Linked DNA regions of Stegostoma tigrinum. The protein of the gene in region 3 purifies or fractionates together with the protein of the main gene of each other region. This does not show direct contact. Links are inferred from orthologs where the notes say so. Each region holds a gene or a part of one and is shown on either strand. Other genes may lie near its edges. The genes, in order: pno1, tsr1, bysl and riok2.

Region 1 (7,444 bases), on a different chromosome or scaffold from region 3:
GGTTAGGAGTGGCTACAAGTTTAGTCTTAAACATTGTCTGTTTAAAAGTTAATACGTACCATTAGTTTTAGAAAAAAATCAAATCAGACTTGAAAGTATAACACACTACCACCTGGAACTAGCCCACGAGTTGAGTCCCATATTCATTAAACCACATGATGGAACAGACTAGGTCTCTGCTCAGTTCAAAACAGATTTCATATAATTTCCCTTTACTCCACAAGGGGCTCCAGAGTGGGCCATGTGGTGCTTCGAGCCTGCTCCACTATTCAATTGGATTATGGCTGGTTTGACATTCTTCATGTCCATGTAACTGTATTTTCCCCATAACTTTTAATTCCCCTACTGATCAAGAATCTCTCCCAGCCTTAAAGATATACAAGAACTCTGCCCTCACAGCTCTTTGTGACAAGGAATTACAAAGACTCACATCTCAGAAGAAATTCTTCCATATCACTAGAATTAGGCGCTCTGGCCCTAAAAATGAGTCTGTTAAACTGCAAAGAATTGGAAGGCATTCTAAAGAATTTACTTTAGAAATCCTTTAATGTTAAGATTTGCATTCTGGTCTAGAAAGTAAGGTGAGTGGTTAGGATCTGGAATACATTGCGCTGGTGTAACAGAAGTTGATTCAAATGTGACCTTCAAAACAGCATAGAATAATTACTTGAAGAGACATATGGAGGGTTATTGGAGAGAGAAACCAGGAGAAAGAGGTGTTCTGCTCTTACATGTGCTGGAACTATCATGATGAGCAAATGGTTTGTCTCAGTGCAATCACTTTTACGATTCTCCTGTGCATAATTTGCCATTGTTCTAAACATACTATGTACGCATAACCTGGCCTATGGAGAGGAAGTGGATCCATTCTATCCCCTGCCCTGAACAAAACACCTAAACTGAATCAGTGACAGTAGGAACTAGCGAGTTTTGAGAAGATTTGTAGCTCAGGTTGAGGTTCTGGATTGAGTTTGTTCGCTGAGCTGGAAGATTAGTTTTTGGACGTTTCGTCACCATTCGAGGTAACATCATCAGTGAGCCTCCGACGAAGCGCTGGTGTTGTGTCCCGCCTTCTATTTATATGTTTAGGTTTCCTTGGGTTGGTGATGTCATTTCCTGCTAATGCTGGAGAATCTGAGATAACAAGGTGTAGAGCTGGATGAACACAGCAGGCCACGCAGCATCAGGGGAGCAGGAAAGATGACGTTTCGGGTCTGGATCCCTCTTCGGAAATGGGCATTTCTGAAGAAGGATCCAGACCCGAAACGTCAACTTTCCTGCTCCTCTGATGCTGCGTGGCCTGCTGTGTTCATCCACTAGTAGACCTTGTTAAACTGAATCAGTACCTGGTATTGCTATTTGTATCACCAACACATTATTTCCTTTTGTAACTATAATTCTGAGCATAGTTACCTTGATTTCAACATTTCTAGTTTTCAGGTTAAACCTCACTTGTAGCTGCAGGTGTTCAACAATTGGGGTAAAGATTTTCAACCAGTTCTCTTTCAAAGGTGTATATCTGTGTGCAGGTACAGCTACTTTGCGAATTTCATCTTTGCCATCCTAGAAGAAAAATGATATCTCTCAGGATTAATGCAAACTTTAAAAGAACCACATGTGATCTCTAAAATGAATCAGAAGACAGACAATAAGATTATAGGGATAGTAGGAAATGCTGATGCTGGAGAATGAGATAACAAAGGTGCAGAGCTGGATGAACACAGCGGGCCAAGCAGCATCAGAGCAGCAGGAAGACTGACTTTGAGTCCAGACACTTCTTCAGAAAGATTATAGGAACAGAATTAGGCCATTCGATCATGGCTGACGTGTTTCTCAATGCTATTCCCTCAACATCTCCCAATAAACCTTAATCCCTTACTTAATCAAAAGCCTATCTCACAGCGTCTTAAATAAACTCAATGACTTGATCTCCATAGCCCTCTGTGACAATGAGCTCCACAGATTCACCACCCTCTGGTTGAAGAAATTCCACCTCATTTCAGTTCAAAAGAATGTCCCTTGAGGTCCCAGTCTCTCTCAGGATTGAAAGCATTTTTTCTACATCCACTCTATGTAGATCTCTCAATATTCTGTAAACTCGGAGTACAGATCCAGAGTGCTCAACTGCTTCTCAAATGACAAGTTCTTCATCCCCAGAATCATTCTTGTAAGCCTCCTCTAAACTCTGCAGAATGCCAGCACTTCCTTAGATACAAGGAAGAGGTTGTATATTTCTGCTGTATTCTAGTCATCTTGAAATGAATGATCACATTGCATTTACCTTCCTAACTGCCACAAGGACCTTAAGAGAATCCTGAATTAGATCACCCAAGACCCCTGTGTTTCAGATCTCTGAAGCCTTTCCCAAGTTAGAAAATAGTCTCTAACTTTAAAATGGGGCAGGATGGGGAAGAGAGGGAGGGAGGAAGAACAGAATGAGCATATTCTGAGTGCGAATGGGGGGGGGGGGGGGGAAGAGTGCGAATGGGGGGGGGGGGAAGAGTGCAAATGGTGGGGGGGGGGGGAGTGCAAATGGTGGTGGGGGGGGGAGTGCAAATGGTGGTGGGGGGGGGGGGGAGTGCAAATGGTGGGGGGGGGGAGTGCAAATGGTGGGGGGGGGGAAGAGTGCAAATGGTGGGGGGGTGGGAAGAGTGCAAATGGTGGGGGGGTGGGGGAAGAGTGCAAATGGTGGGGGGGGGGGGGGGGGGGAGTGTGCGAATGGGCGGCGGGTGTGTGACTAATGAACCGTATTCCCACCGTCCTCTTCACCCACCAGCTGGTGTCCGGAGATAGCGGGGAACTCAGGCCTTTTGTTCGCTGGCGGGTCCTCCGCCTCCATGCCGGCCGCTCCCGTCTCCATCTTCCTCTTACGCTTCCCCCGCTTCTTTGCGGCGCTGATGAACTCGAGATCTCGCTCTGCATCTGAGCCCAGCTCCGGTCCTGCCATCACCTCCGCCGCCATGACAGCTGCTCCGAAAGGACCCCAGCCGAGGGCTGTCCACTCTACTCGCCTGATTCCCCCCCGCGTTCCATTGCCGGGGATAGACCGTATTCACAGTGACGTCACTGCACAGTCAGGACCCCATGGCATGTGCTCGCTGGGCAGGGCTCTTCTGCACCACGTGCACCCTTAAGGCTCGAAAAGGCCATAAGAAATAGGAGTAAGAGTTGACCATTCGGTTCTTCTAACCTGTTCCACCATTCACTGGGATCATAACTGATCCAATATTCTTCACGTCCACTGTCCTAACCTTTCCCCATACTCCTTGATTCCCTGACCGATCAAGAATCTTTTATCTTAGACTTAATTATACACAAGGACTCTGTCCCCGCAGGTCTCTGTGGCAATGTTTTCCAAAGATTCTCAGCCCTCTGGGAGAAGAAATTTTTCCTCATTTGTCTCAAACTGGCACCTTCCTATGCTGTGGATGACAGAGTTGGGGTGGATGAGGTGGTAGGATGGATAAGAGGTGTGGGAGGTAGGACGCTTGAGGGGGAGTGGTGGGGTAGGACTGAGAAGGGGACTGGGACAGATGGTGGAATTGGGAGGGTGGGCAGATGAGGAAGGTGGGGCACATGAGACAGGGTAAGAGTAGGTAAGATGAGGCATGCGGGGGTGCAGATTAGTGAGTTGGGGTGATGAGGAAAGGGGTGGGATGCCCTCTTGTCCTCGACTCTCCAGTGAGGGGAAAATCCTCCCAGCATTTATCCTGTCAAGCTCCTTAAGAATCGCATATGTTTCAAGAGACCAACTCCCATGCTTCTAAATGGCACGAGTAGAGACCCAAGCTGTTTAGCATTTGCACAGCATTTGTTCATTAGACAATCCATCCATATTGGGGATCATCTTAGTAAACCTTCTCTGAGGCCTGGGATAGGGGTGAGGGAGGAGGTGTTAGCGAGTTTTGAGAAGATTTGTAGCTCAGGTTGATGTTCTAAATGTGAGTTTGCTCGCTGAGCTGGAAGGTTAGTTTTCAGACATTTCGTCACCATTCTAGGTAACATCATCAGTGAGCCTCTGATGAAGCGCTGGTGTTATGTCCCACTTTCTATTTATCTGTTTAGAGTTCCTTGGGTTGGTGATGTCATTTCCTGTGTTGGTGATGTCATTTCCTGTTCTTTTTCTCAGTGGATGGTAGATTGGCTCCAAATCAATGTGTTTGTTGATGGAGTTCCGGTTGGAATGCCATGCTTCTAGGAATTCTCGTGCGTGTCTCTGTTTGGCTTGTCCTAGGATGGATGTGTTGTCCCAATCAAAGTGGTGTCCTTCCTCATCTGTATGTAAGGATACGAGTGATAGTGGGTCATGTCGTTTTGTGGCTAGTTGATGTTCATGTATCCTGGTGGCTAGCTTTCTGCCAGTTTGTCCAATGTAGTGTTTGTCACAGTTCTTGCAAGGTATTTTGTAGATGATGTTCGTTTTGCTTGTTGTCTGTATAGGGTCTTTAAAGTTCATTAGCTGCTGTTTTAGTGTGTTGGTGGGTTTGTGGGCTACCCTGATGCCAAGGGGTCCGAGTAGTCTGGCAGTCATTTCGGAAATGTCTTTGATGTAGGGGAGAGTGGTTATGGTTTCTGGGCCCGTTTTGTCTGTTTGTTTGGGTTTATTGCTGAGAAATCGGTGGACTGTGTTCATTGGGTACCCATTCTTTTTGAATACGCTGTATAGGTGGTTTTCCTCTGCTCTGCGTAGTTCCTCTGTGCTGCAGTGTGTGGTGGCTCATTGGAATAATGTTCTAATGCATCTTCGTTTGTGGGTGTTGGGATGGTTGCTCCTGTAGTTCAGTATTTGGTCCGTATGTGTTGTTTTCCTGTAGACGCTGGTTTGAAGTTCCCCATTGGCTGTTCGCTCTACTGTGACATCTAGGAATGGCAGTTTGTTGTTGTTTTCTTCCTCTTTTGTGAATGTTATGCCAGTAAGGGTATTATTGATGGTCTCGAAGGTTTCCTCTAATTTGTTTTGTTTAGTGATGACAAAGGTGTCAGCCACGTAGCGGACCCAAAGTTTGGGTTGGATGATTGGCAGAGCTGTTTGTTCGAGTCTCTGCATTACTGCCTCTGCTAAGAACCCTGATATCGGAGATCCCATGGGTGTACCGTTGGTTTGTCTGTAGGTTTTGTTATTGAAAGTGAAGTGGGTGGCAAGGCATAGGTCCACTAGCTTGATGATGTTGTCCTTGCTGATGAGGTTGGTGGTGTCTGGTGTATGTGTCTTCAGTTCTTCTAATAGCATAGTCAGTGTTTCTTTGGCCAGGTTGATGTTGATGGATGTGAACAGGGCTGTTACGTCAAAGGAGACCATTATTTTATCCTCTTCTATCTTGAACTTGAAACATCTGAAAATTAACCTTCCAGCTCAGCGAGCAAACTCACATCCAGGAGGAGGTGTGGGGGGAAGTGTAGCACTTCCTGCGGTTGCAGGGGAAGGTGCCGGGTGTGGTGGGGTTGGAGGGGAGTGTGGAGCAGACAAGGGTGTCACGGAGAGAGTGGTCTCTCTGGAAGGCAGAAAAGGGTGGGGATGGAAAAATAGCTTGGGTGGTGGGGTCGGATTGTAGATGGCGGAAGTGTCGGAGGATGATGTGTTGTATCCGGAGGTTGGTGGGGTGGTATGTGAGAACGAGGGGGATCCTCTTTGAGCGGTTGTGGCGGGGCGGGGTGCGAGGGATGTGTAGCAGGAAATGCGGGAGACGTGGTCAAGGACGTTCTCGACCACTGCAGCAGGGGAAAACATGGACATTTGGGATGTGCGGTAGTGGAATGCCTCATCCTGGGAGCAGACGCGACGGAGGCGGAGGAATTGGGAATAGGGGATGGAATTTTTGCAGGAGGATGGGTGGGAGGAGGTGTATTCTAGGTAGCTGTGGGAGTCCGTGGGCTTGACATGGACATCAGTTTCTAGCTGGTTTGTCTGAGATGGAGACTGAGAGGTCCAGGAAGGTGAGAGATGTGTTGGAGATGGTCCAGGTGAACTTGAGGTTGGGGTGGAAGGTGTTGGTGAAGTGGATGACCTGTTCGAACTCCTCTGGGGAGCAAGGGGTAGCGTCGATACAGTCATCGATGTAACGGAGGAAGAAGTGGGGTTTGGGGCCAGTGTAGGTGCAGAAGAGGGACTGTTCCACGTAACCTACAAAGAGGCAGGCATAGCTTGGGCCCATGCGGGTAACCATGGCCACCCCCTTTGTCTGTAGGAAGTAGGAGGAATCGAAAGAAGTTGTTGAGGGTGAGGACAAGTTCGGCTCGGCAGATGAGGGTGTCATTGGAGGGGGATTGGTCGGGCCTGCAGGACAGGAAGAAGCGGAGGGCCTTGAGGCCATCTGCATGAGGAATACAGGTGTATAAGGACTGGACATCCACGGTCAAAATGAGGTGTTGGCCGCCAGGGAATTGGAAGTCCTGGACGAAGTGGAGGGCGTGGGTGGTGTCACAATGTAAGTAGGGAGTTCCTGGACCAAAGGGGAGAAAATGGAGTCCAGATAGGTGGAGGCAATCCGACCCCACCACCAGACATTTTTCTATCCCCACCCTTGTCTGCCTTCCAGAGGGACCACTCTCTCCGTGACTCCCTTGTCCGCTCCATGCTCCCCTCCACCCACACCACACTTGACACTTTTCCCTGCAACCGCAGGAAGTGCTACACCTGCCCTCATACCTCCTCACTCACCCCCATCCTAAGCTCCAAGATGACCTTCCATATTAAGCAGAGGTTCACCTGCACATCTGCCAATGTGGTATACTGTATCCACTGTACCCAGTGTGACTTCCTCTACATTGGGGAAACCAAGTGGAGGCTTGGGGACCACTTTGAAGAACACCTCCGCTCGGTTCGCAATAAACAACTGCACCTCCCAATCGCGAACCATTTTAACTCCCCCTCCCATTCCTCAGATGACGTCATCATGGGCCTCCTGCAGTGCCACAATGATGCCACCCGAAGGTTGCAAGAACGGCAACTCATATTCCGCTTGGGAACCCTGCAGCCCAATGGTATCAATGTGGACTTCACCAGTTTCAAAAACTCCCCTTCCCCCACTGCATCCCAAAACCAGCCCAGCTCGTCCCCTCCCCCCACTGCACCACACAACCAGCCCAGCTCTTCCCCCCCCACCCACTGCATCCCAAAACCAGTCCAACCTGTCTCTGCCTCCCTAACCGATTCTTCCTCTCCCCCATCCCTTCCTCCCACCCCAAGCCGCACCCCCAGCTACCTACTAACCTCATCCCACCTCCTTGACCTGTCCGTCTTCCCTGGACTGACCTATCCCCTCCCTACCTCCCCACCTATACTCTCCTCTCCACCTATCTTCTTTTCTCTCCATCTTCGGTCCGCCTCCCCCTCTCTCCCTATTTATTCCAGTTCCCTCCCCCCATCCCCCTCTCTGATGAAGGGTCTAGGCCCGAAACGTCAGCTTTTGTGCTCCTGAGATGCTGCTTGGCCTGTTGTGTTCAT
Region 2 (7,455 bases), on a different chromosome or scaffold from region 3:
CTTCTTATAATGCAGTGACCAGAACGGTACACAATACTCCAAGTGCGGCCACACCAGAGTTTTGTACAGCTGCAGCATAACCTCTTGGTTCCGGAACTCGATCCCTCTATTAATAAAAGCTAAAACACTGTATGCCTTCTTAACAGTCCTGTCAACCTGGGTGTCAACTTTCAAGGATCTGTGTACATGGACACCGAGATCTCTCTGCTCATCTACACTACTAAGAATCTCACCATTAGCCCAGTACTTTGCCTTCCGGTTACTCCTACCAAAGTGCATCACCTCTGCATTAAACTCCATTTGCCACCTCTCAGCCGAGCTCTGCAGCTTATCTATGTCTCTCTGCAACCTACAGCATCTTTCATTACTATCCACGACTCCACCGACCTTAGTATCGTCTGCAAATTTACTAACCCATCCTTCTACGCCCTCATCCAGGTCATTTATAAAAATGAGAAACAGCAGTGGCCCCAACACTGACCCTTGCGGTACACCACTAGTAACTGGTCTGCAGGATGAACATTTCCCATCAACCACCACCCTCTGTCTTCTTTCAGCAAGCCAATTTCTGATCCAAGCTGCTATATCTCCCACAATTCCATTCCTCCGCATTTTGTACAAATGTTAGGAAGGCAAATACAATATAGCTAGAATACAAGAGCAGGGAAGTATTGCTGAGACTGTTAAGGGTCTGTTCAGATCACATTTGGAATATTGTGAGCAGTTTTGGGTGCTATTGAGATGTGGAGGAACTTTTTCAGCCAGAGGGTGGTGAATCTGTGGAAGTCGTCACCACGGAAGGCTGTGCAGACCAAGTCACTGAGTGTCTTTCAGACAGAGATAGATAGATTTTTGATTAGTATGGGATTAAGAGTTACAAGGAGCAAGCTGGAGAATGGCGTTAAGAATCGTAACAGCTGCCTCGCTCCCTTATTAACAGGGGTGTTACATTAGCAAACATGGGAAACATATTATCCATTACTCCCAACAGCATTCATTACAGTGCTCGAGCACCAGATAGAATACCATTGTTTTGACTGAGCTGTAGTTTAATTTCCAGGCTGTGAGAATCTCATAAGGTCTTCCTTGATTCGACACACAACTGAATTTAAACCTCAGAGATAATGGGAACTGCAGATGCTGGAGATTCCAAGATAATAAAATGTGAGGCTGGATGAACACAGCAGGCCAAGCAGCATCTCAGGAGCACAAAAGCTCCTGAGATGCTGCTTGGCCTGCTGAATTTAAATCTCCTTGGCTTCAAATAACACCTTCAAGTGTCTGAAAATTTTACCAAACTCCTTACACTGTGGGAACTTATTTTTAACAATTATGAACTATCATATACTTTCCTTATGAGTCATTGCTTTACACATTCAACTTTAGCAAAGGACCCTGCAGAACCACCGTAACTGAATCTAAAAAACCTCAAACTTCAATTTCCCCAAGCTGTGGATTTTCTCCTAAGTCCAAAAAAAACAGAATCTTCAAAGCATTCAATAATGTTCTGCATGGTAGACTGGTTAGTAAGGTTTCAGTATATGGGATCCAAGTGGAGCTAGCTATCTGGATACAAAATTGGCTTGAAGGTAAGAGATAAAGGGTGGTGGGGGAGGGTTGCTTTTCAGACTGCAGGCCTGTGACTAGTGGTGTGCCACAAGAAACAATGCTGGGTCCACTACTTTTCATCATTTATTGAAATGAATTGGGTGTGAATATAGGAAGGATTGTTAGACAGTTTACAGATGATACCAAAATTGGTCTGTAATGGACAGTGAAGAAGGTTATCTCAGAGTACAGTGGGACATTGATCAGATGGGCCAATGGGCTGAGGAGTAGCAGAAGGAGTTCAATTTAGATAAATGTGAGGTGTAGCATTTTGGAAAGGCAAATTAGGGCAGGGCTTATACAATAAATGGCAGCATGTTGGAGAGTGTTGTCGATCAAAGAGACCTACAGGTGCAGTTGCAGGTGCATTGTTCCTTAAAAGTGAGTTACAGGTAGACAGAGTAGTGAAGGTGGTGTTTGGCACACTTGCCTTCATTGGTCAGACTATTGAGCATGGGAGTTGGGATGTCATTGTGCGGGTTTGCGGCACATTGGCGAGGTCACCTTATCAATACTATATACAGTTCTGGTCTCCCTGCTATAGGAAGGATGTTGTTAAACTTGAGAGGGTGCAGAAAGGATTTACAAAGATCTTGCTGGGTTTGAACTATAGGGAAAGGCTAAATAGGCTGGGGCTATTTTTCCTGGAGCATCGCAGGCTGAGGGGTGACCTTATAGGGGTTTATAAAATCATGAGGGATGGGGAATAGCTAAGGTCTTTTTTCTAGGGGGGAGGATCTAGAAGTGGACAACAGATGTTTAAGTTGAGAGAGGAAAGATTTAAAAAGGACCTGAGGGATAACTTTTTCACGCAGAGGATGGAGGGAGCTGCCACAGGAAGTGGTGGAGGTGGGTACAGTTACAAACATTTAGTAGGCATCTGGATGGGTACGTCAGTGGGAAGGGTTTGGAAGGATAGGGGCTGCTTGGCTCTATTTTCTATCTGAAAGCTTAATATGCTTCAATGCTTACTTTGTTCATTTTAAGAGGAGGCAATAACCTTGTGGTATTATCAGGTGATGTTCTGAGTTCTCAGGAAAGGTCACTGGACCCGAAAGATTAACTCTGAATTTGTCTTCACATTTACTGCTGAGCTTTTCCAGCAATTTCTGTTTTTGTTTCTGATATTCTGCAGACCTTGGTTCAAATCCCGCCAGGACAGATGATGGAATTTAAATTCAATTTAAAAAATCTGGGACTAGGAGCCAAATGACTACCATGGAACCTTTGCCCATTGTTGGGAAAAGCCCACTGCCCTTCAATCACTAATGTCCTTTAGGGAAGCAAATCTGCCATCCACACCCAGTCTGACCCACATGCGAATCCGGACCCACTGCAAATGTGGTTGACTCTTAACTGCAAGTGGGGCTATTGGGGATGGTCCATAAATGCTGGCCCAGCCAGTGATGCCCCATGAACAAATAAAAAATATCCAAAGATCCAAACTCTAAATTAAATGATGTTAAGTCAGACTGCTGAATCTGTCATCGTCTGACAGTTGTGCAGCTCCAGCGTCCTCCCCTAAAGGACATCAATGAACCGGCTAAGATTTCACGACAATTTGACAGGTTCAGCATCGCTTTCACTGAGACAACTTTTATATTTTCTAGTTTTTAACTGTGTTCATATTTTCAGACTGTATTTCAAACAGCATCCTGTGGATTATTCACCTGCATCACTAACACCTATTCCTACACTCAGTCTCTCTCCTGCTAACCATTATCAGATACAAGCCATAAGACTCCCTCAAAACGTCAGCTTTCCTGCTCCTCTGGTGCTGCCTGGCTTGCTGTGTTCCTCCAGCTCTGCACCTTGTTATCTCTAATATCATAACAGTTTTAACAAATAACATGGTTGGCATGATCTGTTCAACTGAAGGGTCTGTGTCCATGCTGTATGACCCTCTCGTGTGGAATGTTAGTACATGGATCAGTGACAATGACAAGAGAGGCTGAATGGTCAAAGCTTTGTTTTAAATAATTGAATGAAGTTGTGTGAGTAATGGAGTTGAACTGTAAATCTATTTGACTTTATTCTCCAGTCTGTGCCAACAACTACTTCTTGTTCCTAGACGACACGGTGTGAAGCAGGCCAAGCAGCATCAGAGGAGCAGGAAGGCTGATGTTTCGCGCCTAGACCCTTCATCAGAAAAGCTCCAATTACTCCTTTCTCCTCTCTGCCAGGAGATCTGCTGTCATGGTATGTCCCGCTCAACTGTCTGTGCCATCCTCTCTCTTATCCACTGGGGATCATCTGTAACCGCCTTGTGATGCCCGTTATCCAAATACATCAAGACCGATCCCTGCTGCCTTGCGCCCACTGGAAGAGATCACTGCAGCTCTGATCAGATGTCCTGGATGTCACATTTTCCTCTTCATTACGGTCTGCACATGGAATGTACGGCCATCACGCACATTTCAGCAGTGATTTCCACACAGAGCACTGTTCAATCTGGAAAGGATTGCAGTCTGACTCTTCTGAGTTATACCAACAACAGCTTATACTTTTCCTCACAGCACAAAACTGCAAATACTGGAATGGCCCGCCTCAGAACTGTTGGCAGGCGTGGTATTTCCAGAATTATCTGAGTGTATGTTTCAATTTGAAGATCATAGATATTTCAGACTAATAGGCCCAAGAACAGTGAAGGTGGATTTGCAGAGATTTGAACCCTCCCTGAAGATGTCTCCTCTGTGTTTCTGGTCATGAACCACAAGATTGATTTACCGCCAGGCCCCGGCCCCGCCTCCCTCCCAGGAGCACTCCTCCAGTATCCCAGCATGCCGCAGGGGCCGGATGGCTTCAGGTCTCCTCCTGCTGCCGTGGTGAGCTCTTTGTGAAGATGGCGGGTGATGGGTCCCTGAGGCAGGAGGTGCACCGGCCCGGGGCCTTCAAACAGAGCAACAAGGAGCACAAAACCGGGAGGCACCGCAGCAAAGGCGGCCTGGAGCGGGAGCGGAGAGGTGGGGGGCGGGGGGCTGACACACGCACACACAGAAGGGACACGTGGCTGCGGGGGGGGGGGGGCGGGAAGGGTGTAAGAGGATGAGGGGCGGGGGGGGGTGAGAGGGGGGCGAGGGGGGCGGGGGGGGGTGAGAGGGGGGCGGGGGGGGGCGAGAGGGGGGCGGGAGGGGGGCGGGGGGGGCGAGGGGGGGCGGGGGGGGCGAGAGGGGGGCGAGAGGGGGGCGGGGGGGGCGAGGGGGGGGCGGGGCGGGGGGGGGGTGAGAGGGGGGCGGGGCGGGGGGGGTGAGAGGGGGGCGGGGCGGGGGGGGGGTGAGGGGGGCGGGGCGGGGGGGGGTGAGAGGGGGGCGGGGGGGGGGTGAGGGGGGCGGGGCGGGGGGGGGGTGAGAGGGGCGGGGCGGGGGGGCGGGGGGGGGTGAGGGGCGGGGGGGGTGAGAGGGGGGCGGGGGGGGTGAGGGGGGCGGGGCGGGGGGGGTGAGGGGGGGGCGGGGCGGGCGGAGGCGGGGGGGGCGGTGAGGCGGCGGGGGCTGTGGGGGGAGGGGGCGGGGCGGGGGGTGTGGGGGGAGGGGGCGGGGATGTGGGGGGCAGGGGGGTGTGGGGGGCAGGTGTGGGGCTGGGGGCAGGAGGGTGGGGGCGGGGGGGTGTGGGGCTGGGGGCGGGGATGTGGGGGGCAGGGGGGTGTGGGGCTGGGGTCAGGGGGGCGGGGGTGTGGGGGGTGTGGGGCTGGGGTCAGGGGGGCGGGGGTGTGGGGGGCAGGGGGGTGTGGGGCGGGGGGCAGGAGGGTGGGGGGGCGGGGGGGTGTGGGGCTGGGGGCAGGAGGGTGGGGGGCGGGGGGGTGTGGGGCTGGGGGGCGGGGGGGTGTGGGGCTGGGGGCAGGAGGGTGGGGGGCTGGGGGCGGGGATGTGGGGGGCAGGGGGGTGTGGGGCTGGGGGCGGGGGGGTGGGGGGCTGGGGGCAGGGGGGTGGGGGGCGGGGGGGTGTGGGGCTGGGGGGCGGGGGGGTGTGGGGCTGGGGGCGGGGATGTGGGGGGCTGGGGGCAGGGGGGAGTGTGGGGCGGGGGGGTGTGGGGCTGGGGGCAGGGGGGAGTGTGGGGGGCAGGGGGGAGTGTGGGGGGCAGGGGGGTGTGGGGCTGGGGGCAGGGGGGAGTGTGGGGGGCGGGGGGGTGTGAGGGGCGGGGGGGTGTGGGGGCTGTGGGGAAGGGGGCGGGGGGTGGGAGGGTGAGGGGTTGGGGGGGCAAGGGTGCAGGTGGAGGGGCAAGGGCGCAGGTGAGAGGCGGTGTGCAGGAGGGGTGGAGGATGGATGGCGGGGAGGAGGAGGGGAGGGCGGTTGGGTGGTTTTTGTCGGGGAGTTGGTTGGGTTGGCTGTGACTCTGCCTGATCACTGTGTCCCCATGTTGGCTCCAGGCAGAGTGAGTGTGAAAGTGAGCAGCAAGAAGCTGAGAAAGGTGCTGAGGAAACATGATCGGCGACACCAGGCATTGCAGATCCGCCAGCAGAAGAGGGAGGCGGTGAGTGTGCCCCCATTTCTCCCCCCCCCCCATCTGCTGTACTTTACCCTCGCGCCACCCCCCCCCACTCTCATCACCCATCCTGTTGGCCTCATCCACACCCTGTCCCCATTTCCACCCCCAAAATTTATCTCTGGAGTTAAATGAAATAAAACAAAGAGCTGTGGGTGTTGGAAATCTGTAACTAAAACTGAAAGTGCTGGCGAAACTCAGCAGCCCTGTCCGGCAGCGTCTGTGGAGCGGTCAGGATTTGGTGCTTGGATGCGCCCCTCCCTGTTGCCAGATTCAGTCACGCACACAGCTGCAGGTTGGAAAGTGGATGTATTTTATGAACTACAAAGACACAAACTTTCTGACCCATGTTCTGCTCTAGGTACTCAGTGAGAAGAGGAGCCTGGGCACTCAAGATGGTCCCCCCCATCTGGTGGGTGTCATCGTATTACACTCTGGTACAAGTGGCCAGAATGTCATGAGGCTAATTCGGACTGACGAGACCTCGAGTGTGTACGACCTCGATGGAAGTGGTGAACGATTTGGCTTGGTTTGCCCCAGGTTCAAACAGAGATTCAGCTTCATCCGAGTGAATTCAGGTCAGTGGCAGAGAGCTCTTGAGAAGTCTCAGCAGATTCATGCGATCAGCTTTCATTCATGTAGCTGTGATGTAGTTAAGAGTGTGGATAACCAAACACTACATACATTGGAGATAATGGGAACTGCAGACGCTGGAGAATCCAAGATAACAAAATGTGAGGCTGGATGAACACAGCAGGCCAAGCAGCATCTCAGGAGCACAAAAGCTGATGTTTCGGGCCTAGACCCTTCATCAGAGAAGGGGATGGGGTGAGGGTTCTGGAATAAATAGGGAGAGAGGGGGAAGTGGACCGAAGATGAAGAGAGGAGAGTATAGGTGGGGAGGTAGGGAGGGGATAGGTCAGTCTAGGGAAGACGGACAGGTCAAGGAGGTGGGATGAGGTTAGTAGGTAGGAGTTGGGGCTGTGGCTTGGGGTGGGAGGAAGGGATGGGTGAGAGGAAGAACAGGTTAGGGAGGCGGAGACAGGTTGGACTGGTTTTGGGATGCAGTGGGTGGAGTGGAGGAGCTGGGCTGGTTGTGTGGTGCAGTGGAACTCCCTAATTATGTCATGCAGTCTCAAATGGATACTTCAGATGAGTTGTTGTTTACATCTACAGCCGAAAGAAACCAACAGAGGAACTGTGGATGCTGGAAATCAGAAACAAAAGCAGAAGTTACTGGAGAAATTCTGCTGGTCCAGCAGCATCTGTGGAGAGAAAGCCGAGCTAATGTTTTGAGCTCAGTGACCCTTCTTTATAACAGGTTTATGTATGTCATGTTGAGGATGCCTCACATGAGCTGCATTCCCA
Region 3 (7,978 bases):
TTCAAGTTAGGTGTACAACTTACTGATACCACAAACTAAAAAGAAAATGATCAGATTAACAATCTCCATCCAAATCTTAACTTTTTTTCCCCCTCAATTCCTTTCCATTTCAGCTGCTACACATTTTTACCATTTTCTGATTGTACTAGAGAATCCTGTGCAACAGGCAATTAGGAAGGGTAATGGTACGTTAGCCTTTCTCCATGTTAAGAGGATGTGAGTACAGAAATCGTGAAGTCTCATTTCAATTATACAGAAACTTGGTTTGACTGCATCCAGAGTGCACAGCATGTCTAGTTTTGGTGCCCTTACCTTAAGAAGGGTAATACCACTATAGAGGGGGTGCTCTGAAATTCTACCAGATCTCAAAATGTTCAACTAATCTTGAAGAGAGAGACTGAGGAAACTGTGATGACATTTTATAGAGTGAGAGGTCATCTCATTGGAATCTACAAAATAGTTGAAGTGAAGGATGGGAAAGATGCAGACAAGGGGTTTCCTCTGGTTGCAAAGTCTAGAAACAAGAGTCACAATTTGAAAATAATGGGGAAGCCTATCAGAACTGAGATGAGAAGTTTTTTTTTAAAAAAAACTTTGGGGGAACATGAATCTTTGAAAATGTATACTCCAGAGAGCTGTGGAAGCTCATTCACTGCATTTGTTTGATTGACAGATTTTTCAAGACCCATGATATTAAGGAGTAAGAAGATAGTGTGGGGGGGAAAAAGACATGGAATTGGACAATTAGCTGTGATCATATTGAATCTACAGCAGGCTCAACAGGCTGAATAGTCAACTCCTGTTCCTAAACTCCAAAAGTCCAAAGGATCCAATAGCAAAACAATACATCATTAATGTCCTAAAGTATTAGTCATTAACAATACAAAGAAATTTCCAGTTTTTACAAATAGGTACATAACAACTACTTGGAGAACTAACTCTTCACTTACAAACTCATCAGGCCTGGCAACGTCTACAGAGAGAGAAAAAAATCAATCAATGTCATCGGGAAGGCGATCACTGACGTTCTGGGATTCCAAGTTTGAATCCTGCCATAGCAGAACTTTTTATGAAAAGATCCAGAATTAAGAATCTCCTGACGACCATGAAATCGTCATCGATTGTCGGAAAAACCCGTCTGTTTCACTAATGTCCTTCAGGGAAGGAAATCCACCATCCTCACCTGGTCTGGTCTACATGTGACTCCAGACCCAAAGCAGTGTGGTTGACTCTCAATTGCCCTCTGAAATGGCCTAGAAAGCCAGCCATTCAGTTGTACCAATCGCTACAAGATCTCAAAGAAATGAAACCAGATGGATCACCTGGCATCAGCTTAGGCACCAGAAGAGACCATGGCAGAAATAGCCCTGTAGACCCTGCAAAATCCTCCTTACTGACAACTGGGGGCTAGTGCCAAAATTGGGAGAGCTGTCTCACAGACTAGTGAAGACAGCCTGACAAAGTCATACTCACGGAATCATCAGTAGTAACAGTGTGTAGCATCTACAAGATGCACTGCAGAAATTCACCAAACATCCTCAGAGAGCACCTTCCAAACTCATGACTACTTCCATCTAGAAGGACAAGGACAGCAGAGATATGGGAACACCCAACCACCTTCAAATCCCCTCCAAGCCACTCACTGTCCTGACTTGGAAATGTACACTTTTCCTTCACTGTTGCTGGGTCAAAATCCTGGAATTCCCTCTGACAGGAGGTGGACTATAGCGGTTCAAGAAGGCAACTCACTACCACCTTTTCAAGGGCAGCCAGGGACAGAGAAGAAATGCTGGCCAGCCAGCAATGCCCACATCCCACAAATTAATTTTAAAAAGGTCCAAATTAACTCTTCTTCAGGGTTGTCGTCCATGGAGAAGAAGCTAAAGAGGGCCTTCAAGAGGGTTTTTTTTAAAAAAAGGGTTTGAAGACAATATTGCACATAAACAGAAAGTTATCAATGACTTAAGGGTGAAGGGTCCTAAGACAAATACCAACAGAGTGAGGTGACTTATCTGTAAGGCAGAATCTGCTAGGGTGACGGATACAGGTTCAATTATAGCTATTAAAAAGGAACCAAATTGTTTTTTTCCTTCACCAGCAAGAAAACAGCAAATGCAATTCAGGCTCTAACTTGATTTCTCATTGAAAGTGGTACAGACCTGAATGTTCACTTCTGCGCTCAACAAAGAAAGATAGTTTGTATGCATCAACTGTGGTCTTAGAATCACCACACCACGCAAGAAATGTAAATAGCAGGATTGTTAGATTCTGTAAAGAAATGGGTTATTATTTCAACTGAACACATCAAAAGCACCTTCAGTCGGGCCATTCGGCCAACTAACTACTGGCGTTCATGCTTCAGACGATTTTCATCTAAGTTGCTCAGCATTTATTTCTTCCCCCTGCAGTTATCCAACTTTCCCTTAAATTTTGACAGAATTCCAGATCATACGATATTCCAACACTTGTTTAGCCTGGTTAACTATTTTTCGAAACTGCTTTGGCAACCTTGGGTGATGCGGATTTAATACCAAACCTGTTACTACACTTTGAGACCCCCGGCTCCCGCGCTTTCTGGCCGTACGGTGCAGTCAAACCTACCCAGGACCGTGGCTTGGGGTCTCTTCTTCTTGCTGATTCCATGCTCTGCCTCCAGCTCCTCCTGCTGAATCCTGGCCTGCTCCAGGATCTTGCGGGACAGTTTCTCGTCCACGTACTCATCGTCAGCCTCGTCGCCCCGGCCCCGCTTCTTGTTGCGGCTGATCGGTTTGACAGCATCTTCCTGCAGGATCTGATCGGCCAAGGCCAGGCCCCTGGACTCCTTTAGCCTGCCTTTAGCCGCCTTCGCTTTCGGCATCACCCCGTCCAAACTAAAGCACCAACCCCTCCTCAGACACGTTGAAACAAAAACGGAATCGTACCCCTCCTTTCCTAGACGCCGGAAGGAAAACACCGGATCGAAAAGCACTGATCACGTCTGCCCGACCCACGTGGCCAGTGCACTGACTCCTGCGCCTGCGCGACGTGTATCAATTTCAATAAGACGCACCACGTTCCATAATTACATCGCCAGTTTCATTCTACTCAAGTGCTCCTTCCTGCCTTTCTCCCACTTGGTCTCTTTCCATACTTATTGCTTCCTTTCAGTCGGAAGCAGGCCTTCCAGCCTATCCTGCTGATGCTGGCCCTTTGAAAGAGCTCATCCAATCTGTCCTGTAAATTGTATCAGTGGTAAGGGGAACTGCAGATGCTGGAGAATCCAAGATAATAAAATGTGAGGCTGGATGAACACAGCAGGCCAAGCAGCATCTCAGGAGCACAAAAGCTGACGTATCGGGCCGAGACCCTTCATCAGAGAGGGCGATGGGGTGAGGGCTCTGGAATAAATAGGGAGAGAGGGGGAGGCGGACCGAAGATGGAGAGAAAAGAAGATAGGTGGAGAGAGTATAGGTGGGGAGGTAGGGAGGGGATAGGTCAGTCCAGGGAAGACGGACAGGTCAAGGAGGTGGGATGAGGTTAGTAGGTAGGAGATGGAGGTGCGGCTTGGGTTGGGAGGAAGGGATGGGTGAGAGGAAGAACAGGTTACGGAGGCAGAGACAGGTTGGACTGGTTTTGGGATGCAGTAGGTAGAAGGGAAGAGCTGGGCTGGTTGTGTGTTGCAGTGGGCGCAGGGGACGAACTGGGCTGGTTTTGGGATGCAGTGGGGGAAGGGGAGATTTTGAAGCTGGTGAAGTCCACATTGATACCATTGGGCTTCAGGGTTCCCAAGCGGAATATGAGTTGCTGTTCCTGCAAGTTTTGGGTGGCATCATTGTGGCAGTGCAGGAGGCCCATGAAGGACATGTCATCTAAAGAATGGGAGGGGGAGTGGAAATGGTTCGCGACTGGGAGGTGCAGTTGTTTATTGCGAACCGAGCCCCCGCCACAACCGCCCAAAGAGGATCCCCCTCGTTCTCACACACCACCCCACCAACCTCCGGATACAACGCATCATCCTCTGACACTTCCGCCATCTACAATCCGACCCCACCACCCAAGACATTTTTCCATCTCCACCCTTGTCTGCTTTCCAGAGAGACCACTCTCTCCGTGACTCCCTTGTTCGCTCCACACTGCCCTCCAACCCCACCACACCCGGCACCTTCTCCTGCAACCGCAGGAAATGCTACACTTGCCCCCACACCTCCTCCCTCACCCCTATACCAGGCCCCAAGATGACTTTCCATATTAAGCAGAGGTTCACCTGCATATCTGCCAATTAGGCATACTGTATCCATTGTACCCGGTGTGGCTTCCTCTACATTGGGGAAACCAAGCGGAGGCTTGGGGACCGCTTTGCAGAACACCTCTGCTCGGTTCGCAATAAACAACTGCACCTCCCAGTCGCGAACCATTTCCACTCCCCCGCCCATTCTTTAGATGACATGTCCTTCATGGGCCTCCTGCACTGCCACAATGATGCCACCCGAAGGTTGCAGAAACAGCAACTCATATTCCGCCTGGGAACCCTGCAGCCCAATGGTATCAATGTGGACTCCACCAGCTTCAAAATCTCCCCTTCCCCCACCGCATCCCAAAACCAGCCCAGTTCGTCCCGTCCCCCCACTGCACCACACAACCAGCCCAGCTCTTCCCCTCCACCCACTGCATCCCAAAACCAGTCCAACCTGTCTCTGCCTCCCTAATCTGTTTTCCTCTCACCCATCCCTTCCTCCCACCCCAAGCCGCACCTCCATCACCTACCTACTAACCTCATCCCACCTCCTTGACCTGTCCGTCTTCCCTGGACTGACCTATCCCCTTCCTACCTCCCCACCTATACTCTCTCCACCTATCTTCTTTTCTCTCCATCTTCGGTCCGCCTCCCTCTCTCTTCCTATTTATTCCAGAACCCTCACCCCATCCCCCTCTCTGATGAAGGGTCTTGGCCAGAAACGTCAGCTTTTGTGCTCCTGAGATGCTGCTTGGCCTGCTGTGTTCATCCAGCCTCACATTTTATTGTCCTGTATATTGGACTGGGGCAAAAAAAACAGAAATTGCTAGAAAAGCTCAGCAAGTCTAGCAGCATCTGTGGGGAGAAATTAGATTAGATTCCCTACAGTGTGGAAACAGGCCCTTTGGCCCAACAAGTCACACCACCCCTTGAAACATTCCACCCAGACATATTACCCCATAATCCACACTCCCCTAACACTACAGGCAATTTAGCCTGGCCAATCCACCTAGCCTGCACATCTCTGGACTGTGGGAGGAAACCCACACAGACACATGGAGAATGTGCAAACTCCACACAGACAGTTGCCTGAGGCTGGACTCAAACCCAGGTCCCTGGTGCTGTTAGGCTGCAGTGCTAACCACTGAGCCACCATGCCACAAAATCACAGTTAATGTTCAGGGTCGAGTGACCCTCCCTCAGAATGCACCCAGTTAGACTGGGATTGTTTTCCTTAGACCACAAAGAGCTCATTGAGGTCTACAAAATTATGGGGTCATAGAAAAAGTAGGTAGAAACATCTTTTCCTCTTAATAGTGTGGTTAATAGCCGGGGTAGATGACGGGAGGGACACAGCATTAAGGTAAAAAGCAGGAAGTTTACAGGGGAATTTCTTCCAGTTGGGTCGGTGTCTGGAAATTATTGCTTAAAAGTATGGTTTAGATGGGAACCCTTAAGATATTTAAAAGCATTTAAATGACCCCTCGAAATACCATTACATACTAGGCTATGGGCTATGAACTGAGTGCTGGAAAATGGGACTGGACTGGATAGATGCATGATGACCAGCACAGGACACGACGGGCTAAAAGGTCTTTTTCCCTGTATAAGGTCTCCATGGGTCGAATGATGCCTATTGTACGAGGTTTTAGTCAGTTTTACTGGCATCGTAACATTCTGTCTTCAACTCAATGACCCAAGCCCTTCTAATCCTAATTTCTTGTACTTCATTGATTTTAATCACTATATGGTCATATCTTCCCTAGGCCTCCAGGCTCAGAAATACTCACCCTACACTTTTCCGCTTCTCTATCTCCCTTTTATTTTAAATTCTTCTTAAAACCTATTTTTTGACAAAATGTCTGGGCTCCAATATCGCACCATGTGGCTGAGTATCATACTTTGTTTTTATAATACCCTTCCGAATCAACACCTCCTCAGAAACGTTGAAACAAAAACTAAATCATACCCCTCTTTTCCCAGATCCCGAGGGGAGGGAGGAAAAAAAACACTGGATCAAAAAGCACCAACCACTTCTGCCTGACCCACGTGGCCAATACACTGCATTTTGCACCTATGTGACATGTATCATTTTCAATAAGACACACCACATTCCAACATTCCCACAGTCAGTTTCATTCTACCCATAATGTTTTATGACATTAAAGTTTCTATATAAATACAAGTTGCCCCCTATACTCACCTTTGGTTCCTTTACCAGTTTCCATAATTAGCAAGAAGGGTCCCGACCCAAAATGTCAAGCTTTCCTGCTCCTCTGGTGCTGCTTGGCCTGCTGTGTTCATCCAGCTTCACACCATGTTATCTCAGATTCTACAGCATCGGCGGTTCCTACTATCTCCATGATTAGCAATCCCAGTCCTTGCCCATTGCTTAAAGACTTAAAGACTCGATTCTTCTAAATGGACAAATGGACTTCAGAGTTCAAGAAGCTGGCTCACGACCACCTTCATAAGAGCAACCAGGGATGGGCAGTAAGTGTTGGCCCAGCCAGGGATGTTCACATGCCATGAGTAAATGAAAAAAATCTCCACAGTCTCATTCAAAACAAGACAGATTCTCCCAAAGGCTCCCCTTCCTATCATTTTTTCAAGCTCTCACACTTCTTTCATATCCAGCTGGGAGATGAGAATTTGATTTTAAGACCCAAGTTGTTATGATTTTGAAATGTGCTGCCTGATTGGTTGAAGGAAGTATTTTTAAAACTTTGAAATGTAATTACTGTATAGTTCTATAATGACTTGAACAGGCAAAAATAGCAGGGCTGTGGGAAATGAGCAGAAGATTGGGATGAGGTGAATTGCCCTTCCAAAGAGGCTGTATAGTCATAAACCAATTTGGATCAATTTGGCAGCTGCCTCTTCGCTTCAATCAGTATCGTGCTACCTTGTTCAGCAAGTGGAGAGATAACATCAAAATGTTAAAGCTGTTGGGAACCCATTGTGTCAATATGCTTCTGCTGCAGCACCATTTTGCATGTCTGTTAACACTTGTAGACATGAACATATATCATGTAAGTATTTTGTTAAGATGACAACATATCAGAACTTTGAGATACAGCAAATTGTGGATGCTCTTCTATTTAGGATATGGCGGATATGATAACATTTCAACACTTGCAATGTATTCTGATTACCTTGTATGGATCAGATACAAACTTGGTTTATTTGTCTATTCTGACAATAAAAAGTACTTGCAGATGGAATCTTGGCTGATTCCTTCAGTTCTGTTAATTGCTGATTTGGTGCTAACATTTACTTGTTCCAAACTACACTGATTTGTGCATCCATATGCAAAAGTACTTTTAGAAAGTAAGTCACTGTTTATTGTCAGTAGAACAAAGCCTAAGGGGTATATTTCATTTAAAGTAATTCCCCAAATTTTATTATGTGTTATGATTTTATTTCCTTCATTATTATTCCAAAGTGGGAAATAACCTTCTACTTCTGCTAAATTGCACTTCCTTCCTACAAGAATAAATGTTTGTCCCCATAGAACAATATATATCTTGAGTGGTTTCTGGGGTGAAACAAGGACATTATGTGCATTTTTATTAAAAATCTGTATACTTTTCAGGTCAAGAATGGGATGGTGTGGCCTTTGGGAACAGAAAAACCTGCATGAGTGAATAATCATTGTTATAGAACTTTTGTTTTTACTACTGAGACATGATAGATGTCATTTTTGATTAAGATTTCCATCATAGTTCAAAATGCAGGAGGAAAGAGATATTATGCAGTTTTGCA
Region 4 (7,984 bases), on a different chromosome or scaffold from region 3:
GTACAGTAATAAGAGCAAAATAAAGATGAAACTATCAATTTAGAAGATTTGGAATAGATAAAAATAAGACAGGATTTCATTATAGAATCATTATATAATCCCTATAGCGTGGAAATATGCCCTTTGGCCCAACAAGACTACACCAACCGTCAGGGCATCCCACCCAGACCCATCCCCCAATAACACGCCTAATCTGTACATCCCCGAACATTACGGGCAATTTAGCGTGGCCAATCCACCTAGCCTGCACATGTTTGGACTGTGGGAGGAAACCAAAGGACACCCACACAGATACGGGGAGAATGTGCAAACTCCACACAGACAGTTTCCTGAGGGTGGAATTGAACCAGGGTCCTTGGAGCTGTGAGGCAGCAGTATTAACTGCTGAGCTACCATGCTGCCAACTGAAAGAAAATGTAAAAAAAATCAAGGTAATTACGTGACTAGCTTACTACTACCTATCTCCCACAAGAAGACAGGCAAAGTAAACATCACAGGAAAATCTCTAGGAAATCTCTCTCAATCCTAATCAGAGGAGTTGTTGAGACCCTCAATTATTACTATTCACAGGAACCTACAAGCTATATTTTGTAACTTGAAATGTTATTAAGAATTCATCCTAGCCACTTTTAAAGGTTGACAGGGTATTTCTTTGGTAATTTGTTCCCAAGGCCAAAATCAAAACTCCCTGTCTAATGGTATTGGGGTTCCGTCTATAGCACATGGATTGCAGCAGTTCAAGCAGGCAGCTCACCACCAACTTCAAGGGTGAATAGGAATAGGCAATAAACACATCCCATGAATTAAAATGACTTCTTGCCAACCTATTTTTATTTATTCTTTTCATGGAATATGAACTTAGCAGGCAGCAATATTTGTGGCCCATCCCTCATTGCCCTTGATCCCGAGTAGCTTGCTACACACACTTAATGGGGCAGCTATGAGTCAATCACATTGCTGCGGGTCTGGAGTCACACAGAGGCTAGATCTGGCAAGGACAACAGACTTCCTTTTCTAAAGGATGTCAGTGAACCAGCTGTATCTTTACAACTCTCAGCAATAGACTCACCATCACCATCCCTGGGAATAGGTATAAATTTGCGATATATTCATTTTTCAGTTTAAATCATGACAATTAGCTATTAATCAATCTGTTAAGATATATGCGTGGAGCAGGAAGAACTTGAACCTGAACATTCTAGCCCAGAGGTAAGGACACTACTACTGCACCACAAAGGCCCTAATTCCAGATTTATTACCTGATTTTAAATATCGCCAAGTGCCATGGTAGAACGTGAACCTATGTTCCATATTATTAACTAGGGCCTCTGGATTACTAATCTAGTGACACTATCATTATGTCTCTTTATTATTGCCTTAAATCTTCAGTACAGATTTGAAAGGAGAAACCTTATACGAAAGACCAGCTGGTTTTCCATAGCTTAAGTGGACAGAGTTTGAAAGTTCATGCCCCATTATACTTCATTGAAGTCATACTGAAAAATTACTCATGAGTGGGCTAAAAAAGCTACCATCATAATTCAATAATCTTATAAAATTTACAAAAAAAGTGATCACTTGGCAAAGCAGGAAACTGGCTCAATTGGGGCCTGTTGAGTATTTTAAAATTTTAGTTTTTCAGCATCTGCTGTATTTGGCTTTTGTAATTATGCTTACTTGAGTCCCAGTTCTCTTCCAGGAACTTGATGAGATTTGTATTTGTCTTTTTTACCTTCTCTACTGTTATTGTTTCTGTCAGCAACTCTCTACTTCTGACATACTCCCCATGAATTTCATTTGAAATTTCTTCTGCCATGTTTCGGATCCAATAATGATTACAGATATCTCCAACATATTTTTGTTCTTTGAAGCACCACTCTCAGTGCATTCTATGTAATGCACTGTCACACTTACCCTCAACCTCTCTCTTCACCCACCATCAAAAAGCTATCCTGATCCATAGTTGAATTTCATTCTTCATCTCAAGTAATGCTTTCACGAAAATAAAAACCTTTCCAACAGATGTCAAGGATTGTAATCTTTTCTAAATTTAGGCCAAAAGAAATAGGAACAAGAGTAGGCTGCTGGGGCCTCTCAAGCCTTCTCCATGCAACAGGATCATGACAGATCTGACATTCCTCACAACCACTTTCATGCCCTTTAATTTGTAACTCTCTTCTGTCAGATCCAACCTTAATGCAATTAAATCTATTGATAAGCTGCTTTTGTTCGGTGAGCTAATTATTACCATAGTCAAGTATCAACTGCTTTCTGCTCTTCCCTCTTCTTTCCTTCCTCTGCTTCAACAACAACTTGCTGAAAATGTTTCAGCTCTTAACTGTTTCCAGATCCGACAAAAGTTGTTAACGTCACTTTTTCTTTTTCCATATATTTGGAATATTTCCAACGTTTTCTGAGAGTTCGATATTTACTGAGACATTAAGTACTAAAAATGATTAATGTGAAAATATTCGCCAGAAAAAAGCCACTGTGTTATATCTTAAATGACTGCCTGTGGCATAAAACGTATCAAGAACGTGTTCGCTTCCTCCGCTCCGAGAAAAGCAGCGGACATTGAACTAACAGATAGGGCAAGCGATTTATTATTCAGCAATTCCATTAAACTCCATTTTTTAAAGTCGAAATTATGCTGATGAGGGAGCACATCGCAGCCAGTTTATAAAACAGAAGGATCTGATATAGAGATACCTCCTTATGGTAAATCACGCAGCCCCTCTGAATTACATGTGAACTTTAATCGAGCACAAACCGAGTTCCGACAGGCCCGGACCGGCAACTTACCCCAACCAGCACTCTGAAATCATCTTTCTGTAGGTACCTCAGCAACACTACGTTCAGCTTCCCCATCGCTGAGACCGGCGTGAGGTGGAAGACAGAAAGGAAGAGAAAATTGCAACCTCAATCCCTTTATAACAGAGTACGGACAGACAGAAAACACAGGGCCTTCCCAACAGCTGGATCTCACCCGGCTGTGCATGCGCACTCTCTACCAGGTCCTCAAAGATACTTAGTAAAATTCACTATTCAGTTCGAAATAACAAACACAGTCTCTGAAGACCTCCATAATATATGAATTTAATATTATGATTTGAAACAACGAGATTAACATTGGAGTACTGGTCCTATGGATGCGTATCGCAGTGTTAGATTTGTGTTTTGTGCTGCCAGGGCCTGGAGACGGTTGGGTTCGCGGATTCGGAACGCTGATCATTGGAGTTATTCTGGTTATAGCTCGGAATCATGTCATCTCTCAGGAACAGTCGGGGCCGAGAGCTGCCGCCCAAGATCCCGGTGCGTACGTGTCCACTGGTGTCCGTTTTTATTAGGCAGTCCCTGGGCAGTGAAGATGACTTTCCTTCACTCGGCTGTTGTGAAAGTTCAGTGCTGGAACCACTCAGTCCTGCCACAGGTGGGGCAAGGCGGTATTTGCTGGAGCCAGTGGGTGGGATGCTCGGGCTTTCGCACGCTGCATTCCGCTTGGCCTTCCTCAACACCTGCCGCAGACGATCGAAACGGTTGGCATTTTCATGGGGATGCTTCTCCTCCAGTTTGGGCTGTGTTGGGCTTGCAATTCCCGCTAGTCAGTGGACAGGGGTATTACTTTCTTTGAGGGTGCTAATGGCTTGCAGAGGGAATGGTTCAAAGCCGCCCCGAAAATTCGTCACAGATTGGTGGGAACCTCAAGCCCAGGAGTGCCCAGACGGGTGGCAGAAACACCTGTGAAACCCTTGAGCTGTCTAGCTTTTCTCCCACCTATCTGCTCCTCCCACCGCACTGACGAACCCCCATCCCAACTCCCTTGATCATGACCCCACCCCCGAGCACCAAACCATCATCATCTCCAACACCATCCATGACCTCATCACCTCAGGGGACCTCCCACCCACATCCTCCAACCTCATCGTTCCCCAACCCCGCAACCCCCACCAAGCCCATTTCTATCTCCTTCCCAAAATCCACAAACCTGCTTGCCCTGGTTGACCCATTGTCTCAGCCTGTTCCTGCCCCACCAAACTCATCTCCACCTATCTGGACTCCATTTTCTCCCCTTTGGTCCAGGAACTCCCTACCTACGTCCGTGACACCACCCACTCCCTCCACCTCCTCCACGACTTCCAATGCCCTGGCCCCCAATACCTCATTTTCACCATGGACGTCCAGTCCCTATACACCTGTATTCCTCATGCAGTTGGCCTCAAGGCCCTCCGCTTCTTCCTGTCCCGCAGGCCCGACCTTCCCCCTCCAGCGATACCCTCATCCGCCTAGCTGAACTCGTCCTCACCCTCAACAACTTCTCTTTCGATTCCTCCCACTTCCTACAGTCAAAGGGGGTGGCCATGGGTACCCGCATGGGCCCAAGCTATGCCTGCCTCTTTGTAGGTTACGTGGAACAGTCCCTCTTCCGCATCTACACAGGCCCCAAACCCCACCTCTTCCTCCGTTGCATTGACGACTGTATCGGCGCTGCCTTTTGCTCCCCAGAGGAGCTCGAACAGTTCATCCACTTTACCAACACCTTCCACCCCAACCTCAAGTTCACCTGGGCCATCTCCAACACATCCCTCACCTTCCTGGACCTCTCAGTCTCCATCTCAGGTAACCAGCTAGAAACTGATGTCCATTTCAAGCACACTGAGTCCCACAGCTACCTAGAATACACCTCCTCCCACCCACCCTTCTGCAAACATTCCATCCCCTATTCCCAATTCCTCCGCCTCTGCCACATCTGCTGCCAGGTTGAGGCATTCCACTCCCGCACATCCCAGATGTCCTCGTTCTTCCAGGACTGCAACTTTCCCCCTGCAGTGGTCGAGAACGCCCATGACCGCGTCTCCCACATTTCCCACAACACATCCCTCACACCCTGCCCCCACCACAACTGCCCCCAGAGGATCCCCCTCGTTCTCACATACCACCCCACCAACGTCCGGATACAATGTGTCATCCTCCGACACTTCCGCCATCTACAATCCGACCCCACCACCCCAGCCATTTTTCCATCCCCACCCTTGTCTCTCTTCCGGAGAGACCACTCTCTCCGCGACTCCCTTGTCCGCTCCACACTCCCCTCCAACCCCACCACGCCCGGCACTTTCCCCTGCAACCGAGGAAGTGCTACGCTTGCCCCCACACCTCCTCCCTCACCCCCATCCCAGGCCCCAAGATGACCTTCGATATCAAGCAGATGTTCACCTGCACATCTGCCATTGTGGTATATTGTATCCATTGCAGCCGGTGTGGCTTCCTCTACATTGGGGAAACCAAGCGGAGGCTTGGGGACCACTTTGCAGAACACCTCTGCTCGGTTCGCAACAAACAACTGCACCTCCCAGTCGCGAACCATTTTAATTCCCCCTCCCATTACTCAGACGACATGTCCATCATGGGCCTCCTGCAGTGCCACAATGATGCCACCCGAAGGTTGCAGGAACAGCAACTCATATTCCGCTTGGGAACCCTGCAGCCCAATGGTATCAATGTGGACTTCACAAGCTTCTAAATCTCCCCTTGCCCTACTACATCACAAAACAAGCTCAGCTCGTCCCCTCCCCCGACTGCATCCCAAAATCAGCCCAGCCTGTCTCTGCTTCCCTGACCTGTTCTTCCTCTCACCCATCCCTTCCTCCCACCTCAAGCCGTACCTCCATTTCCTACCTACCACCTCTTCCCGCCTCCTTGACCTGCCCATCTTCCCTGGATTGATCTATCCCCTCCCTACCTCCCCACCTATACTCTCCTCCCTTCCTATCTTGTTTTCTCTCCATCTTCGGTCCACCTCCCCCTCTCTCCCTATTTATTCCAGTTTCCTCTCCCCATCCCCCTCTCTGACGAAGGGTCTAGGCCCGACACGTCAACTTTTGTGCTCCTGAGATGCTGTTTGGCCTGCTGTGTTCATCCAGCTCCACACTTTGTTATCTTGGATCCTTCAGCATCTGCAGTTCCCATTATCCCTATCTACACTCACCTTTACTGGCTTCATCCCTGCCTTCTTGACCTGTCCATCTTCTCTTCACCTATCTGCTCCTCTAGCCACCTTCTATCATCGCCTCCTGCTCTCTATTTACTTCAGAGCCCCTTCCCCTCCCCCATTTCTGAAGAAGGGCCTCACCTCTATATAGAGGAGACCATGTTGTGAGCAGTGAATAGTGTAGACTAGATTGAGTTAAGTACAGATGGATTGCTGCTTCACCTGGAAGGTGTGCCTGGGGCCTTGCTAAGACCACATTGGGATCCCCTTATTAAGGATAGATACTGGCAGCATCTGTGGAGAGAAGCAGTGGAGTGAGGATGAAGATTGGCACCTCGGTAACAGAATTCAGAAAAAACGTCAATATCTGTCCGTGGATGTCTGTTTAAATAATGAGGTGAAAGTGAATTGTTTTGGTATATTCAACAACAAACAAAAGTAGTCCTGCCCCTTTAAAGAAATAATCCTGTATCAAAAGTTAAGGCGTTCACATTTAATAAACCCATAGACCATACAAAACAGAACACATATAGGCCATTTGGCCCCTGAAGCCTCCTCTGCCATTCATTAAATCTTAGCTGCTCCAATAACACTCATCTGGATGAATAGTAAATTTTCAATCTAAAATTGATTGCTTTTTGTTATCCATAAATATTAAACAGAATAGTCAAAAGCATGTGTGTTGAGTTCAATCCCAAATCAATCAAGAAATCAAGAAAGTGGTGGTATTGTCCCTACATGTGAGTCAGGAGGCCTTGAATCAATTCCCACTTGTTCCAAAGCTGTGCATCTCTGAAAACGTTGGTTAGGCTCTAAGAATTAGGAACAGGTGTAGCTCATTCAACCCCTTGTATCTGCTGCATCATTCAGTAGAATCATGGCGGATCCAACATTCCTCATATCCATGTTTCCCCAAAGCTCTTGGTTCCCTACTGATTGAGAATCTATCTGACCCAACCTCAAATATACACGAGGACTCTGACCCCACAGCTCTGTGTAACAAGGAGTTTCAAAGGCTCCCAACCCTCTGAGGAAAAAAAATCTTCCTTATTTCAGTTTTAAATTGGTACTCCTTTATTCTGAGATTAAGCCTCTGGCCCTAGATTCTCCCACAAGGGCAAAGATCCTCTCAGTATTTACGTTGTCAAGCCCCTTAAGAATCCTGTGTGTTTCAATGAGATCACCTCTCATTCTCCTAACCAACAATGAATAGAGTGTCAACTTGTTTAGCCCTTGTTCATAAAATAATCCCTCCATACTAGGGATCATCCCAGTGAACCTTCTGCAATGAAATGAGATGTTTCCTTAAATAAAGGATCCAAATCTGTTCACAGTATTCCTGATATGGTCTACACAAACACTTTCTATAGTTGCAGTAAGACTTTCCTACTTATACTTTCCAACCTCTTCGAAATTAGGGCTAACATTTCATTAACTTTCCTGTGCGCTAGCTTTCTGTGTTTCATGCACAAGTACTCCTCACGTCCCTTTGTGTTGCAGCTTTCTGCAGTTTTTCTTCGTTTATATAATACTGTTATTTTGTTTTCCCTTCCAAATTCTCACATTTTCTCACATTATACTCCATTTGTCAACATTTTGTCGACTTACATAACCTATCAATATCTCTCTGCAAACTGTTTGTATCTACTTTGCAACTTGCCTTTCCATCTATTTTTGTTTCATTTGTGAATTTGGCTATAGCGCATTAGCTCCCTTCCTCCAAGTGATTAATACATGTTGTAAACTGTTGCAGTCCCAGCATTGATCCGTCTGGAGCCCCACTGATTAAAGGTTGCCAACTGCAAAAGAACCCCCTATCCCCGTTCATTGTTTCCTGTCCATTAGCCAGTTCTCTATCCACAGCAATATACTGCTTCCAACACTATGGGCTCCTATCTTGCGACTGAACCTATTGTGAGGTACCTTGTTGAAAGCCTTCTGGAAGTCAAAATGCAACATACCTACTGGTTTCCCTCTGTCCACTCTGCTTGAGAC

What was found.
Region 1: the proteins of bysl (region 3) and pno1 fractionate together in Homo sapiens (co-fractionation; 4 studies listed by BioGRID and IntAct, with this or other methods). This does not show direct contact. The link is inferred for Stegostoma tigrinum from reciprocal best matches to the Homo sapiens genes BYSL and PNO1.
Region 2: the proteins of bysl (region 3) and tsr1 purify together in Homo sapiens (affinity purification with mass spectrometry; 3 studies listed by BioGRID and IntAct, counting the BioPlex papers as one, with this or other methods). This does not show direct contact. The link is inferred for Stegostoma tigrinum from reciprocal best matches to the Homo sapiens genes BYSL and TSR1.
Region 4: the proteins of bysl (region 3) and riok2 purify together in Homo sapiens (affinity purification with mass spectrometry; 3 studies listed by BioGRID and IntAct, with this or other methods). This does not show direct contact. The link is inferred for Stegostoma tigrinum from reciprocal best matches to the Homo sapiens genes BYSL and RIOK2.

What each region holds. Positions count from the first base shown.
Region 1 is NC_081362.1:4,265,914-4,273,357, reverse strand, and holds the start of pno1 (RNA-binding protein PNO1), read right to left. Parts: upstream 3,004-7,444; 5' UTR 2,963-3,003; coding exon 2,774-2,962; intron 1,564-2,773; coding exon 1,414-1,563; intron 1-1,413. UniProt on the Homo sapiens protein: Part of the small subunit (SSU) processome, first precursor of the small eukaryotic ribosomal subunit.
Region 2 is NC_081380.1:47,861,535-47,868,989, forward strand, and holds the start of tsr1 (pre-rRNA-processing protein TSR1 homolog), read left to right. Parts: upstream 1-4,439; 5' UTR 4,440-4,450; coding exon 4,451-4,571; intron 4,572-5,971; coding exon 5,972-6,075; intron 6,076-6,448; coding exon 6,449-6,665; intron 6,666-7,455. UniProt on the Homo sapiens protein: Required during maturation of the 40S ribosomal subunit in the nucleolus.
Region 3 is NC_081374.1:14,519,462-14,527,439, reverse strand, and holds the start of bysl (bystin), read right to left. Parts: upstream 3,018-7,978; 5' UTR 2,858-3,017; coding exon 2,602-2,857; intron 1-2,601. UniProt on the Homo sapiens protein: Required for processing of 20S pre-rRNA precursor and biogenesis of 40S ribosomal subunits. May be required for trophinin-dependent regulation of cell adhesion during implantation of human embryos.
Region 4 is NC_081356.1:87,167,963-87,175,946, reverse strand, and holds the start of riok2 (serine/threonine-protein kinase RIO2), read right to left. Parts: upstream 3,006-7,984; 5' UTR 2,869-3,005; coding exon 2,803-2,868; intron 1-2,802. Other genes in the region: uncharacterized protein LOC125451045, read left to right, coding at 3,262-3,312. UniProt on the Homo sapiens protein: Serine/threonine-protein kinase involved in the final steps of cytoplasmic maturation of the 40S ribosomal subunit. Involved in export of the 40S pre-ribosome particles (pre-40S) from the nucleus to the cytoplasm.